Neodiprion lecontei: one gene and its partner. The protein of the gene in region 2 purifies or fractionates together with the protein of the main gene of each other region. This does not show direct contact. Links are inferred from orthologs where the notes say so. Each region holds a gene or a part of one and is shown on either strand. Other genes may lie near its edges.

Region 1 (9,246 bases), on a different chromosome or scaffold from region 2:
TGGTCTGCGTGCATGTATTTCGAAGTACCGGCCTCATTATCAAAAAAAAAAAAAAACTCGCCTATGGCTCAAATCCTGCAAGCCTCAATCACGGGTTGTCAAAACCGCATAGGAAACGGTGATTGCGGCTTCTAAACATGATAACTTTTTTGTTCTCGGCATATCCAGCAGTTTTTTTTCCTCGGCCAAATTGGCGTAATATTAATTAAGTAATTAGCAAATGTTATTTTAAGCGACGACCACGTATACGGTTAAATATCAGATACCGTCCATCCTGAATCGAGGCTAATCAAGTCCTGCAGAACCCTGCTATGAACAATTTATAAGCATATTTGGCAAAACTGCCTTGGATAGAAAACAATTGTAAGTAATATACGAGTGAATAGAGGCCCGAGTGAGTCTATTTCGCAAGCTGCGGCATGTCGTTTTATAAGCTTTATCGTCGGAAATTAAATGGTAACTGAAATATTTTTTCTATGAATTTCTTTCAAGTGAAATAGTGCTTAAGTCCTGCTGAATATTGTACAACAACGACCATGTCAACAGTGCTCTTGTTGATTTTGTGCCGGTGTTTGAATTTAGCTAAACAATATTCGTCACATACTTGAAAAAAATTTGCTCGAAACCAAAGTATATCATTTTTGTGACATATGATTAAAAAAATGAACCTCTACATTTTCCGGAGCTCATTTTCAGCAATCGGAAATTGTCGAGTGAATTCAGGTAAAATAATTTTCAGCTACTGACCAGCGTGTTTTCATGATAAAACACCGCGAGTAAAACGATCCTGATATTCGAAGTTCTTGGATTCGGCAAAACGAATTATGGAAATCGTTCGTGTGCTTATACTTGTATTTTTGCCACGATGTGCGTGAGTATGGCTCGTTCTTGAGCATAGGATCGAGAGTGAAACGCGCAAGGATCGCGATCGCCAAGGCAGAATCTAGTTATAAATAATACAAGGAATCAGTGCAATCTAGAAGAATCCTGGGCTGTAAAAATATGTCCGATAACCGGGTCGTTCTGGTCGTTAAATTTTGGAGGCGGTTGTCCCCTATTTGCCAAAGAATGATTTACTGTTCTTCGATATTGTATCGCAGTATAGCTTGAATGATGTATGGATCGGTAAATACCTTTAATCCGGTGCCTCAATGGCGCGTAGAAATTCACGCTGTTCAGATACTTTTTTCGAGAGTACGTTATTACATATATTACATATACGAAACTATCTTCTAGTATCGTGACGCAGTAGCGTTGTACAAACAGATGTGAGCTCGATATCGCATTTATAAACCACCGATTTTTTACCGTACGGTTCAACGAGTGTGTAATAATCTTAATGAGTAAATTCGATTTATTTTACAATTGGATTATATGTGGAGAAAACGGAAAATCGCTGTACGATATTCTACGTATACCCGCATATGGATAATATTTGTTTGCTTGCCGAATACCATTATGGTTAACAGAAAAATAAAAAAAAAATAAAACGACCGACAATCATTTTCCCGTTGAGGTCATCCTTCCGCTCCACTTCCTATTTTCGCCAAGTCATTGAAACGGTACACGCACCGATTGTCTTCCTTAGTTTTCATTGTAAAAAATATAATATTCCTTGTAATGAAATTTAATATATAGATTTTGTATTGCGGTACAGACGATAGTAAAATATCATCAATTAGATTTCGTTGTCACTTCGGGCAGAAGCTTAGGCCCACTAAGCCTATAATACACGCAAACTTTTTCGAACAGCGTAAGTATAATTATATTAATAAATATTATTCTTGTTGTCAGTGAATTATCGCACGTTTTTAAAACCAGAAACCTCGTCTGACTCCGTTTTGTTACGTGATTAATTGCCTCGCTGCTGCGGCAGAAGCACCAATAAATGGTATTAATTTTCTATCAGCATTCGCCACATGTGCAGTATCAAGTTTAACTAGGCATCGATTACGATTGACTAATTTAACAATAAAGCCTGGACTCTGTTCACCGACCCGATGTTTACGAATACATGTAATTACCCTCACAGACCTCGAGTTCGTTACTTCGTCAACAATATCGCACAAATATCCTGAGCATAACAAAATTCCGAATTCTCGGATAATCAGAGCTTCGAAATAGATAAATTTTGCATAATTTGAACGATGTACGAGTTATAACGACAAATTCGCATTGGCATCAGTCGTACCATTTAAAATTATTAACGAATCTTTCTTTCCGAACTGTTGATCGAATAATGACTTTAAACCCGTTGAAAATACGCAATTCGAGAAAATTCCAAAAATCCTTGTCCCCTCGCAGGAGGATTAGATTTGTCTCTTGGGTCCATGAAGGAGAGAGGAAGCAGATCGCGTGGCACCAGTGGGCAGGCTGGAAGCTACCGGCCCCGGAGAAGGGGTCCTATCTTCCTTATCACTGCTATTGCTGTCCAATGGCGGAGTGAGGAAGTAATCGTGGTGATAAGGGCGGCGTGTTCTGTCGACAGTACGCGATCTTTCCTGAGGTCCCTGACTGCCAGTCACGTCTGACACCGAGGACAAGTAACGCCACGGAGTGGCGATCGCGGTCACAGCCGAGTTTTTCCCAGTTCTGTGCTTATTTTTAGGTCCTATTCGGCAGTCGACACTCAATTACCCACAAGTCACTGTTGAAGGAGTCCGATTAACAGATCCTTGGACTCAGTCATTGGCGGAAGTTGGATGCAGGACACTCGGCCTTCGCTCCGAAGAGTCCGTCAATAGAGAGTTGGAGGAGGATTTGAGGACAAGACGCGATTCGAATTGACCAGTAACCCTTCAACATGATCGTCAGGAAATAGCAATCAGCGTTTTTTGTTTTTTTTTTGAACGAAAAGAAAGTAACAATCGTACCCAAGCCGCAGAGGTACGCAACTAGAGCTTCGAGAGGTGATCCAATTCCTCGTGTGGAAATGACAGCGACGATGTGCAAGACGACGAGGTCGTTCCGCATCGACGATCTCCTCCATCCGGAACGTGGATCCTCCATTCGAGACAGCGCCGTCTCGTCCAGGGAGGGTGAGAGGTCCTCCTGCAGCTCTCCGACGTCACCCGAGACCCCCATGACACCCTCAACACCACCGCGTACACCCACCATCCCGTTTCCCATGCATCTCCAAGCACACTGGCCTGCGAGACCAACTCCCGTTTACGCACCGCATATGGACGATCGGCGACTATGTCTTCCCTACGACCTTCATCCCTTCAGAGGTGAGTTATCCAGTCGTCCCTTCAGAGGTGAGCCAATGTCCCGGAGCAAAAATACTGGCTCGTTTTTAGCTTCTTCGAACATACTAAAATCCTGTTTACTGAAATGAGCCTCAAAGAGATAACGAACGATTGATGTGCTTTTGGTGTACATCCAAATCAGGATCATCGGGGACCTGATGCATGCATATCGCGTGTTTTCGCAATTCATGCGACATATGTCATTGCCAGCTCGATAAAGTACTGTTACCATGGGCAGCTTGGTCGGTTGATAAACGATAATATTGCGCCTTTGAGGATAATACTTAATTAAGAACGTCGATGTTCTTACAGGATGCGGCTACTGACCATGCAGTGGGCTTTATATACGCACACAATTACGCTTGTACTCGCATTCGTATTTCATATTCAAACTAATAGCTGTTCAGTGAACGCGAATTAACAATTTATAACGTGTACTTAGACACATCCTTTAGCTCTTTACAATGCCCACAGTAAATTGCATAACGGGATTCCCGCAAAGATATTGTCTGCGGAATTTTATTTACGTATTACATGAGTAACAGGATACCTATGGTGCAAAACCAGTGCATGAACGTATTTCCCACTTTGTCTTTCGTGGTAATATAATTGATAGTGACTAAAGAAGTTGGAATATTATCAAGATTTATTCTTTGGGAATATGAATCATAATTTAGCGCGACGTAATAGAGAATTCAGTAACGACAAAATTTACTCTTCCAAAATCCGATCAGACTTCCCGCGGTATTACAGAATTGCAACACATGACTCGATGACAATTTTACAGTATGACTCCCATCTCCGATTGCTTAACATCCTTCGGAGACCGCAAAATAACCACCGTCCCGCTTGTTCGAAAGCACTTACAACTGCGATACAATCTGTCGCTGTCGGCGAGAAGAAATCTACAAAAATCAACCCCAAGAATCATTCGTGGTCAAAGAAATCGAGTATCAGCCACTTCCCGTTTCCGTTTACAGCCGTGATTCTCAGAGGCTGGAGAGATGATATACGTAACGTAGGTACAAGTACAGTCGAAGTGCAAACGTAGTTGATTTTTTCAAAATTTGGGATGAGGTAAAATCAATTTTGATAATCGGTGAAAAACTTGGGTACCGTACGCCTTTCAGCCCGCCTTCGAGCCGAATAGTTTATCATTCGTGCAGCCCGGGAGTTAACACGATATGTTTATCTTCAGGGACTTCCTTCCTGTACTTACTTTCCGTGCCTCCGCTGTATCTCGCTGAAAACGGCTGAATATAAAGCAACATTCCTGACAACTACCCACGTCTGACAAGTTATCGGTGAAATTTTCTCAAGTAGCAATTACATCCGGGAACAATCAGTAATTAAAGAGAGCTAACAATTCGTTAGAGCATGATGGACAGCTTGTTCTTTTTAGTAGGATATATTACAAAATGTTCAAAATCAGGTTGTTTAGCCGAGGAGATCATAATTGAGCAAATCGAGCGCAACAAAACGACAAATAATTTAATTAGTTAATCAATCATATAGCTCTGGAAAGGGTAATTAAGATTAAGCGGCGTTTAATGCGGTGAATTATAGATTACGTCAAGTAGTTGGTTATTAATTACTTAATTACTCAACGATTAAAGTCATGTGAAAGAATTTCGAAGCACGTGCTTATTCAACATCCAATTTTAGTCAGCGCACGTTTGTTGATATTAAATAAATTGTCATTCACGATGATGCACTGTGTAACACAGAAAGATTAAGATCTACCAAGGTCAGAATTTATCTAATTTTCAAATGCCGTACAACGATACTGTCAAAAAGAGATTCCAGGCACCTTTTCATTTCTACATATATACACGAGTATTATGTATACGTATACCGTATATAAGCTTAATCGGTGCCCGTATATGTATATGCATACGGTAAACAACCTGGAAAAGGCACAAACTCTGATCGCGCGGACTATCTCGAAAAGTTTATTTTCCAAACTTAATACGTCAAACAATCCCTATCTATCACAAATATACATATCAATTAAACGCTCTTCGGCAAAGGGTGCAACAGCCGTTCTCAAACATGCTGAAAACCGTTCAGACCGATCGATTCGTAGTTCCGGTACTAGATTTAATTGGCAAAAATTTACATTGTTTATGAAAAAAAGTAGCGTCACTATCGTTCACTCCGTTAATTATCAATCATTGTAAAGGGCAGCAATTATCGCATTCAGTTAGTCATTTAAAGACAGCCGCAATAAAGATAGGAAATATAATATCGCGCACCAACAATATTTTATTGAATACCAATTGCTGGTTTTCCGCCAGTGATGCAATATCTGGCTTAATAAATCGATTAATCAAAAATCTACGACATCTTTTGATAACTAAGCTTTCGCGGTAAGCGCTTTTATCGTGACAACCCGGCTAATAGCTCTGGAATAATATGTCAATCCGTCCGCACGTTCAATCGGTTCTCTCTATCGTGTCGTGCGTGTGTACAGCCTATCTGACAAAAACACCGAAACGTCTATCCTTACCGCATACCAGTGTGCGTCAGCTGGATGGACAAGCCGCTAATCTTGTATAATGTATCATTACGGACTATTTTTAAGTTATAATTTTACATACTTCCATTGTAATTACTGTAATAACAGTATCGCGCAATAAAACTCACGACAATCGAATACTTTTCGAAAATAATACATCTGATACTACCTGCCATTAATCGCGCCCTAATTCCACCGCAAATCTCAAATTATTATTCACACCCGATTGTGTTCATCGGTTACTGCGCGCAATCGTGTTTACCTAATTTATGACAAATGTTCAATGACTTGTAAATTAATTCGTGTGAATCACATCGTTTGCGAAATCGTCGGAGACGTTAACGTAATACTTGGTCATATACCGTCAAGATACATATATATAAGGATACGGTCGAAGATCTCGTTCTCCGCATTACACACTAATCAGTATTTCCTTGATTTTCAAATCGATCACTGATTACCGGTATATTTGGCACTTGGCATCTGATATTTATTACAGGCAGTATCGTTGACACATTCGATACCCTACCGTAGTATCATGTAATTGTCTACGCGTGAAAACTCACGTGCTCCATAATGATCGCGACTCCCTGAAATTGCAGGGTCGCCGTTTTGACTTGAAAGAAATATGGCGAACGGACTTGACCGAGCTATGTTGTAGCGTAGAAAATATTGCGCAATCATTCGTCGAGGCATGAAAACCGAGGAAAACCTGCAGAAGAGCACCTAATTTCTCGTCAATATTAGGTCGATCCGTTTTTCCCCGCAGTCTGTTCTCGATCAAGGATCTAAAACCGTTACATCAAACGCCCATCCGCCCCGGCTACTTCATCGAGGATCACGATTACGTCCGATATACACGCGTAGTTGAACCGATGCAGTAATACTAGTACCTAAAAGATACACGATAGTTACTGTGTACCATCGCGGTGCTACCGGTATTATACGAAAGGGAACGAGTCGTCTATTTGTCGGCGGTCAACACGGTTATCAGTAATGTATTTGATTGTCTGATGAATGTTCCGAGGCGCCAAAAAGAGATTATAATGCTATTGATCATTAATGCCACCGTGCGGGATAAGTGGGCGCAACCCACACCCGCAACTCTCCTCATCCTTGCGGCCTGCAAGTCTCTGCACGTATGTACAATGTACACACAAGCCCCCGCGATATACGCATGTGGATGAGCAAGGTGCACCGATCGGCTCGTACTACTATCAGTTTGGGCACTGACTGATGCCCGAGCCTTGGGCCCGCGCCGCTACCGAAACCCACCAAGGATTACCCCGACAAAATAATATCGATCAATCGTGCCAGAGTATTACCGAATCCCCTGCATACGCCCGGCCTTCCCCCGACTCTAATATCTCTACTGTCATTCCGTATTGTTCAACGATCGGCCATTGTACCACATTTTTTTATCTCTTCTTAAATCGCGACATATCACGGAATAGGCCTGCTAAATTTTCGTCACAACTGTGTATAATAAGATGAATTGGTGCAGCTACGCACCCGGTTGTTTCAGTGATGTGCCCCATAGGGGCCCCTAATCATAGGCTAATCAGGGTACAAATCCACTCTGAGCAGCTCCGAGTTTTAGCCGCGTGATAACAAAAGAGCAGCGGACGAAATGTACCCTGATTTACCTAAAATCGGAAGTCCCCGTGGGACGCTTCGCCGAAATAACCCGGTGCAGTGTGTAGCATTTGGCGCATCCCGATTTCAGAGGGCATTATAGCTTACTTTTTTCTTTACTTACAGCGGTTCCACCAACCAGATTCTGGCCGCTCTATTCGCCCTACCAGATCCCTTTGCAGCACAATATACTGGCACGACTGTCGGCCGCCCATCACAGCAAACGCAAAGGAGGTCAGGTCCGCTTTACACCACAGCAAACTGCGGGCCTTGAACGGAGATTTGGTTCCCACAAATACCTCAGCCCTGAGGACCGCAGGCATCTTGCTGCGCAGTTGAAACTCACCGATCGTCAGGTAAGGAACGATGCTATCGGCATTAAATTTGATGTTATGCCTCGTCACTGCAAGCTTATCCTCAGCATTTGACTTCCGTTCTGTAAAACAGGTGAAGACATGGTTCCAAAATCGAAGAGCAAAATGGAGACGCGCCAATCCAACGGCGGCAAACGGTGAAGGTGGAGAAGGCTCGGGAAATTCGCTTAAAAATGGTACGAGCGGAGAGGCTAACGAGGAGCTGGATGAGCCTTACGACAGCGACTGCGAAAGTCCGATTTCGGTTACCGACTAGACGAACGTTGGAGAGCCAATTTAGATGCCACGATATCTCCGTTGAGAATGAGACACGAGATACGAAGGCGTACTGATCACACTCACCCGAAACAGACTAATCCATGTATAAATATTCCCACCCCTAGGCGAAGTCAGACGTACGCTCAACGTTTCGGAAAGCTGCGAATATCGAGATTCGAACTATTGAAAAGTCTCGACGCAGGTGGATAGATACTTCTACCCAAGTTTGGTATTAACGATGTATCTTTATGCAGTCCCACATTTAAGAAACCGTGACGAGTCGATCGGGTGATCGATCACGGCTGGTCAACTTTGTGCCAGAAATTATAATCGTGCAGTTTTGTTTATTTGCACTTTATACTTACAATTTGATATCGGATTACTATCGTCTTGTTAAACGGTCACTTGATCTCCCGACCCAACGGGATTCCACTTGGGCCTTCAACAAAGGAAAATGTATAAATCGGTGAGATTTCGTATTGGACATTGAAGGAGAAAGAAAGGCTTCGGAACTATCGAATACGAACAAAGTTTGTGTATAGTTTGTATTATAATGTACAGTGAAATTTGAAAACAAACGACCCATGAATTGAATATTTTATATATACGTGTAATCAGCTCATCAGACCAGCATGTTTTATATTAAAATATGTAAATATGGGATGATTGAGTTTGCATTTAAGATATATTTATTAAATCATTACGTTATACCATGTATATAACTGCTTGTATATTGTCATTTTTTTTTTAGTTGATAAGGAAGTACTGCACATATTCAATAGTATTAATATCCCCTGTTTACACTAAAAATATAATAATAATATAATAACATCGAAATGGATTTTGTGAAATAATAAATTTATGCGAAACATGCATCATATATTATATATATCGCTGATAAGAATATCCCTCAAGTACGGCTGACGATAATTCTGGACAAATAAAGCTTTCCTCAATAACTTGAACCTGAAAATAAAAATTATGCCGATGAAGTGAGTGTTCATTCTAAACTATAGCTTGGATAGGTTTACCCTTTGGTCCTGACTGTCCGCAGCGAAGTCGATACAGGAAAAGTACGAAATTCCAAAAAACACATATGAAATATACTTACTTATTTCCTGAAACAATCACTGCGGAAAAAAAATTCACCTCAACTTTCGCTCGCCAGCTTGCGACAAAAATAGTTTCTTTAATTTCCATCGATGTGGCGCCA
Region 2 (6,107 bases):
AGTGCATTATATACCTGAACCATCTGCGCCGCCCTCACAAGTCGTTAATCCTGGTTTTGCCGAAGGATCTAGAATTCCATATGCCAGGAATGATCCGAACAAAGAAACTGAAATACGAAACATTTCAGACAGACAAAATTATCAATGGTATCCATCCACGTCTGAATCTGTAATGTATTCTTCATATTCACAAACTCAGCCAGAAGACCAACAGAAAATTATGTATACGGGTAAGATTTTGTTGCAATACTGTACTTGAGTTGGAACTAAATTGCTCTCAATATACATGCAAATAATTAATTTTACTTGGAATTATAGTGTTCAACGGAGTGAGTGAAGCAGTAGGCAAATCATGGCGTGATGTGGCCAGATATCTCGATGTCAGGGAGGGTGACATCGACCGTATTGACACGCAGTTCAATTCTGATTCTAAAGAAAAGGCCTTCGCAGCATTGAAAATATTTGCTGCTAAAAGTGATTTGCGTTGCTGGTCGATCAACTTGAAGAATGCGTTAGAAAAGGCAAGACGTAAGGATCTCAGAAACCTGGTCGACGATCTACTAACTCGGAAATAGTGAACAACGTAGAGACAGAGCAGTTGTACGTGTGTTTCTTCTGTATTAAGCTGCGTATAGTTTCAGCATAATACTTCTTTCAAACACAAAAAGATTCCGATGAGCGAAATTTTTCACGCTGTAAATAATATTTTTCTGATCCATATGGGCATTGTAATAATAGCTATGTTTAAAACCGTGTGCTCGATATTTTTGTTTTTATCTTGATATGTAATGTTGGCGTATGTAAGTATGGTACAAACGAATATTTGGACTACTGAGGATATATTACGATAATATGTGTACATTTACGTCTACGTAATAATGTAAATCCGGACTGTGCTTTTTTTTTTCACACGTTTATTATCAACAAATTGTTGAATATTTATCTGCGTATATTTTTAGTTTCACGTCCGAATACATAGTATATTCGCATAGTGACAAATTCAGAAGCAGGTAACAGAAAATGAAGTATAATGTAACAGTTTTAACAGGGAAGTAAACAGTAAATAAATTGACAAGGCAACATTTATAATTGGCATGCTGTATTACATACGCTGACAATTTTCATAACATAATAGGTCACTGAAAAATAAAGATATATTCTCTATCGTTACCAGTTTCAAGCAGATTCGTATAGTATAAATGGAAGTGAAAATGCAACTAAACTAGTAATGGACTGAGAAATTATTTTGCTTTTGCTGGCTGCTGCATTTCGGTTATTTATGTATTTCAGTTCTGAGTGGAAGATTCCTGTTAAATTCTTTTGATTCGAACATTTCTAAACCACTAATTTTAGGTAGTAATTAGATAATTATTTCACGAATCCTATTATACATCAGGGAGGGTATATAACAAAGGATTGTGAGAAAAGAATAACTTTATTCCACATATGACTTGACTATACCTTTGTGTACAGATTCTTTCACATATTCTTATAAAAGAAAAATTATATATATAGGGAAAAAAAATACAGCAGCCTGCGCTAATGTCCTCTGGGTGAATAACTGTGAGAACAAGTTATATATATCAATGTAAAATTTTATACTAACAAATCTTGCATTTAGTTATATAATAACTCATTTATTAACCATCACTCAGTCGCGTATTATGAGAGGAAACATGATTACGTCAACATAATTTTTGGAGGGCGCAATAGGGGAAGGGACTGCTTATTTCTTTGCTCAGCCATTCACTAGTTCTGTACATGTGTATATTCCTCTCCTGAATACAGACAGTTGAATTCAGATGATCCATAAATATATCTATTAGATAATTTGCTCTGCAATTATTTGTTATTCGAATGGTTGGGGTCAGGAAATATGAGGATGATGTATAATAATAATAGAAAAGGGCTGTGGTTAAACCGAATAAGTGTTCTTCGTGACGCTTCCTGCTTTAGCCATGGTGTCCTTATGAATTTGGTAGCCTATTTGCACCCTTGGTGCAATCCGCAGTCTTTCCTTTAGTTTGCGCCTGCAATAAGAATATTAAAGGTTATACGGCACATTAAGGAAAACTGCAGTTTCCAATTCTGGTTTAATTAGAAAAATATCTTACCCGATTTCCAATACGCTTTGACCCCTGTTTGCATCTGCTGTCCATACACCAATTTTGTCACCTTTTGGTCTTACGTTGACCACAGCTCCACATACATCATCAGAGAACTCGTTAAATGCTTCACCAATCATACAGAGAAGAACTTCAAGCCAAAAACGGTCTAAATCACTTCCTCTTTGCTTTTTGTCCAAGCTAATGAGCCACCTGCCTCCTTTTTTATTTGCATCATCTTCCCACATTGGCCGAATACCCTGCTTGAACATACTGTAGTCACAGCCTTGCCGCAGCTCTGAGGCCAACTTTATGTGATTGTACAAGCTAGAAAAAGAATTTAATCATAAGATGAAGTGTAAATATACAGGTAGAAACTAAATAAAACATTTGATAATACAGCTGAAATATGCAGGATACTTGAGACTGTTAACTTTTTCAAAAACAGGATGGTCAAGTGTAAATGTTTCGATGTAATACAATGTGAAGAAAGTGGATCACGACCATGTGAAAGTATAGCACGTAAAACTAACTTGACATCATTTAAGCATAGAGAGCAAAGCGATATACATTCCATTCTCTTTACTCATGAAGTAAATACTACTTTGGAATTGAAAAATTTTAACGAAAACTTGACAGTACATGAATTTGGTACTACTGATTGATTAATTGAGAGTTTAACTTTTTAAACAAATGATTCAGGGTAATTTTTCAACTTTGCAAAAATGATAGAAGGAATATTAAAGTGGAAGGACCGTCAAAACTAAATTTCTATAAAAAATACCTCCAAAAATCTTCTGCTGTGTCGAAACTTGTGATTTCACGCTGATTTTGTTCCCATGTCTTACTGCGATCATTCTCATAGTACCAAAGTGTCCAAGTATTTTGCAACGGATGCTTGATAAGAAGCTCTGGTGGAAATTCTTCCAAATTTGCTACTTCTTGGTCCTTCTTCTCTGTATCCTGCAATGATAAATACACCTCTGCTTACTGTACAACATTCATATACTGCCGGTAAATATTTTCTACAGACTCTGCAAACATAATTAAATGTAAATTCAAACTACATATACCACTGCGATTTCCGCATATTCAAGCGAACGGAGCTCTGAACGTGTGAAACCACGAGTACTTTGATAGATTTTGTATGGAGTGAAGTTGTCCAAAGCGTGAGTGATGAATGATAAGTACCATCAACTATCGCGCGAATTGAAATGAATAGTTGTCGAGAAATCTACACAAGGAGAACGAACAAAAATGATTGGTATCATTTTAATTCGTTTTACGGTAAGACGAGAAAGAGAATTGGTTAACGCAGAGAAATGAATGATCTAACGAAGCGATAGTAGTAGGTTATGCCTATCAGCAAAAGGACGAGGGTCAGGGTGGCGGCGGGGAGCACGAGGAAGCAACCATGCTGATGCGTGAAACCGGACCTTTTTTGGTTAAAATACCGGACTAATGATATTCGTTGGAAAGCGAGTTAAGTTTCGGTTAAGAAAATACGATAATTCAACGAAATTTTACAAGTATACCTCGATTTCTGCCGAATTATTTGCAGCCATGTCACAGGAGTCGACCGCCAGGATTTTCAGCAAATGACAACTAAGGGCATCTGTCGGTAAGAGTTTGCGTAACTAGTCACTCGGGCTCGGCGAGGAATTGTTTCGAAAAACGAGCTAGCCGGTGCAGAGGCAAACGGGAAGACCAACACGCAGTGACACAGACCAAACACAGACAAGAAAGAAATAGAGATGCCTCGGCGATCGTGATGATTGAGTTCCTTCAGATTTTTTTTGTGGATCTTTTCCAGAGGTAGATGTAATTACTTCATGAAGCGAGAAATTTTCAATAATACACTGATTATTTTTATAATCACGAAAATTACGAACTTTGTTTTGTAATTGAAAGACGGCGTATTTTTTGTTTTCCCCTATTTATATGTCTTTCTTTTTTTTTTTTTTTCACCTACGCAAAACCTCGTCCGCAGCGACATCTCTGCGAGCGTGAAACTCGCAGCAACCACACGGAACGCTACTAATTTCGCGTGATTTGTAGTGAACATATTTATTTTTTTTTTGCAACTCACATATTCCATGTAAACAGTGAACCGTGAAATCGTGATCAATATGAAGCATGCGGTGAATATTCGATGTTATTATTCTATGGATCCCTTTCCTCAATTCTTCTTGAATCTCGTGTTAGAAAATCGATGGTTTGTAGGCGTGTTGTAATTTGGGGTTAGCTCGTTGGTTGGTAAAGACAGTGTAATTAGTCTTTAGACATTTTTTTGAATGAAACATGCCTCTAAATTTGTCGTGATTAATTTTCTTGTCAAATTTTTGTAATGTAAACAGCTATTGCACGTTTTAATCCACCGTACAATTTTGCCACAAAGGTCATAAAACTACTCTCAGCTTCTAGGCTTGTTCCTGAAGTTACATCAAAATTGACCTATTTTTCGATATTATCTCTTTTTAAGCAGGTTCGGATGATCATATTATGTTTAATAGAAAGACTACAAATCAACGGAGTAAGACTGGACATCAAAAAGAACATCCTCACTTGATATATCCAAACAGCCAACCAGAAAATGTAAACAAACCACATAACAATTAAGCTGCTTGAACGATAACAAACGCTCCTGTTTTTATTTCGATAATTCTTCCCAGTTTACATTACATCGTTTCTAATTCACAATTTTCTTCTGCCAAGTTGTCACTAACATTAACCAATACTGTACGAATGCTAGAAACATTATCAAAGTTACACACTTCTTGTGTGTAAAGTATGCAGTGATATGTATTATAAAGCTTGTATTTTGTGCAGTATTTCATTACTTGTCTAATGCAGCTTTCACGCATTACTTTCACTTTTACTGTAAAATGAGACAAAAAATCAAACATATGATTAAGGAATTGCTCAAAAACCATTTCAATAATTTAGCTTTAGAAAATTTATTGAACTTACTCTACCATTTGTTGGATTAACATTTTATCTTTGTTTTATTTTGTTCCTTATAATTTGTTCCCACTTCAAGGTAATTGTCGAAGCAAAGATGTACATATGATCATCTGAACTAGGCTTTACAAAAAATATTCTGCAAGGTTAGCATTTGGACTGTATTTTGTTGACTTCAAGTGATACAGGGCTGATTGACCCTCTGGAGGCAACCTGGATCATTACCCATTTATTTTTGCCAATTCCTTATATCTCATTTTGTATTAAATCTTACTACGTCATCTAAAGTAAACATATCGAATTCGTTCCTCTACCATCGTACGCTAGACATTCTAACGATTTCATTTCACTATTTACAAGCTGAAAAATATGAATTTAAACCGTTTTTATAAACAAAACCAATTCTGCTTAACACAGGGTTGCCTAAACAAGGGACCCCTGAAAATGGTTGCCCTCAGAGGGCTAAAAAACCAAATATATTATGGTCCTCTGTTCTTCTGAAGAATTATCGCACTGTTATTTCTCATATTTTTCATAACATTTAGCCAGTCTTGTTTTTGCTGCCATTGCTTTCATCTGATGTAGAAATTGTGCCAATCTGTTCTTTAAACCAGACCTGTGTAACTAGAAGCATAGGGGATGCATCTGTAGAATACATTCCGGTACATTCGTAGACCGGCTTCCGTACACTTTTCAATTCCTATTACTAACTACATGATTACAATTATAACATTGTTGTTCAACATAATGTCCAATTTATTCCTTTCATTTGCTTTCTGTAAATTTCTTTTCAGCATCTTACAAAGAGCAATGTTCATTAAATAAGCCTGAGAAGAAAGTAACTTCAAATGCAACTGTTTTCAGGGACCTGAAGAAAATGGAGACAGTAAACGTTTGGCAGTAAAACAGGAGTTGGCAGCATTTGGATATGATAATACTTATGGCAGTTACTCCGTACCCTCCCCCTCTCCGGCAGCTCTGAATCAACCCTTACCTGGACAGCCACCCTTGCCTCCTATGCCTCCCCCACCAGGCACGCTC

What was found. The genes of interacting proteins can lie anywhere in the genome.
Region 1: the proteins of eukaryotic translation initiation factor 4E (region 2) and hematopoietically-expressed homeobox protein HHEX purify together in Homo sapiens (affinity purification with western blotting; 3 studies listed by BioGRID and IntAct, with this or other methods). This does not show direct contact. The link is inferred for Neodiprion lecontei from reciprocal best matches to the Homo sapiens genes EIF4E and HHEX.

What each region holds. Positions count from the first base shown.
Region 1 is NC_060265.1:21,400,763-21,410,008, reverse strand, and holds hematopoietically-expressed homeobox protein HHEX, read left to right. Parts: upstream 1-2,551; 5' UTR 2,552-2,932; coding exon 2,933-3,230; intron 3,231-7,525; exon of another isoform or gene 7,526-7,527; coding exon 7,528-7,757; intron 7,758-7,848; coding exon 7,849-8,031; 3' UTR 8,032-8,406; downstream 8,407-9,246. UniProt on the Homo sapiens protein: Recognizes the DNA sequence 5'-ATTAA-3'. Transcriptional repressor. Activator of WNT-mediated transcription in conjunction with CTNNB1.
Region 2 is NC_060260.1:30,404,086-30,410,192, forward strand, and holds eukaryotic translation initiation factor 4E, read right to left. Parts: upstream 3,776-6,107; 5' UTR 3,671-3,775; coding exon 3,641-3,670; intron 3,069-3,640; coding exon 2,890-3,068; intron 2,433-2,889; coding exon 2,115-2,432; exon of another isoform or gene 2,031-2,114; coding exon 1,916-2,030; 3' UTR 1,417-1,915; downstream 1-1,416. Other genes in the region: uncharacterized protein LOC107224395, read left to right, coding at 1-230, 319-575; uncharacterized protein LOC107224388, read left to right, coding at 3,877-3,920, 4,619-4,700, 5,931-6,107. UniProt on the Homo sapiens protein: Acts in the cytoplasm to initiate and regulate protein synthesis and is required in the nucleus for export of a subset of mRNAs from the nucleus to the cytoplasm which promotes processes such as RNA capping, processing and splicing.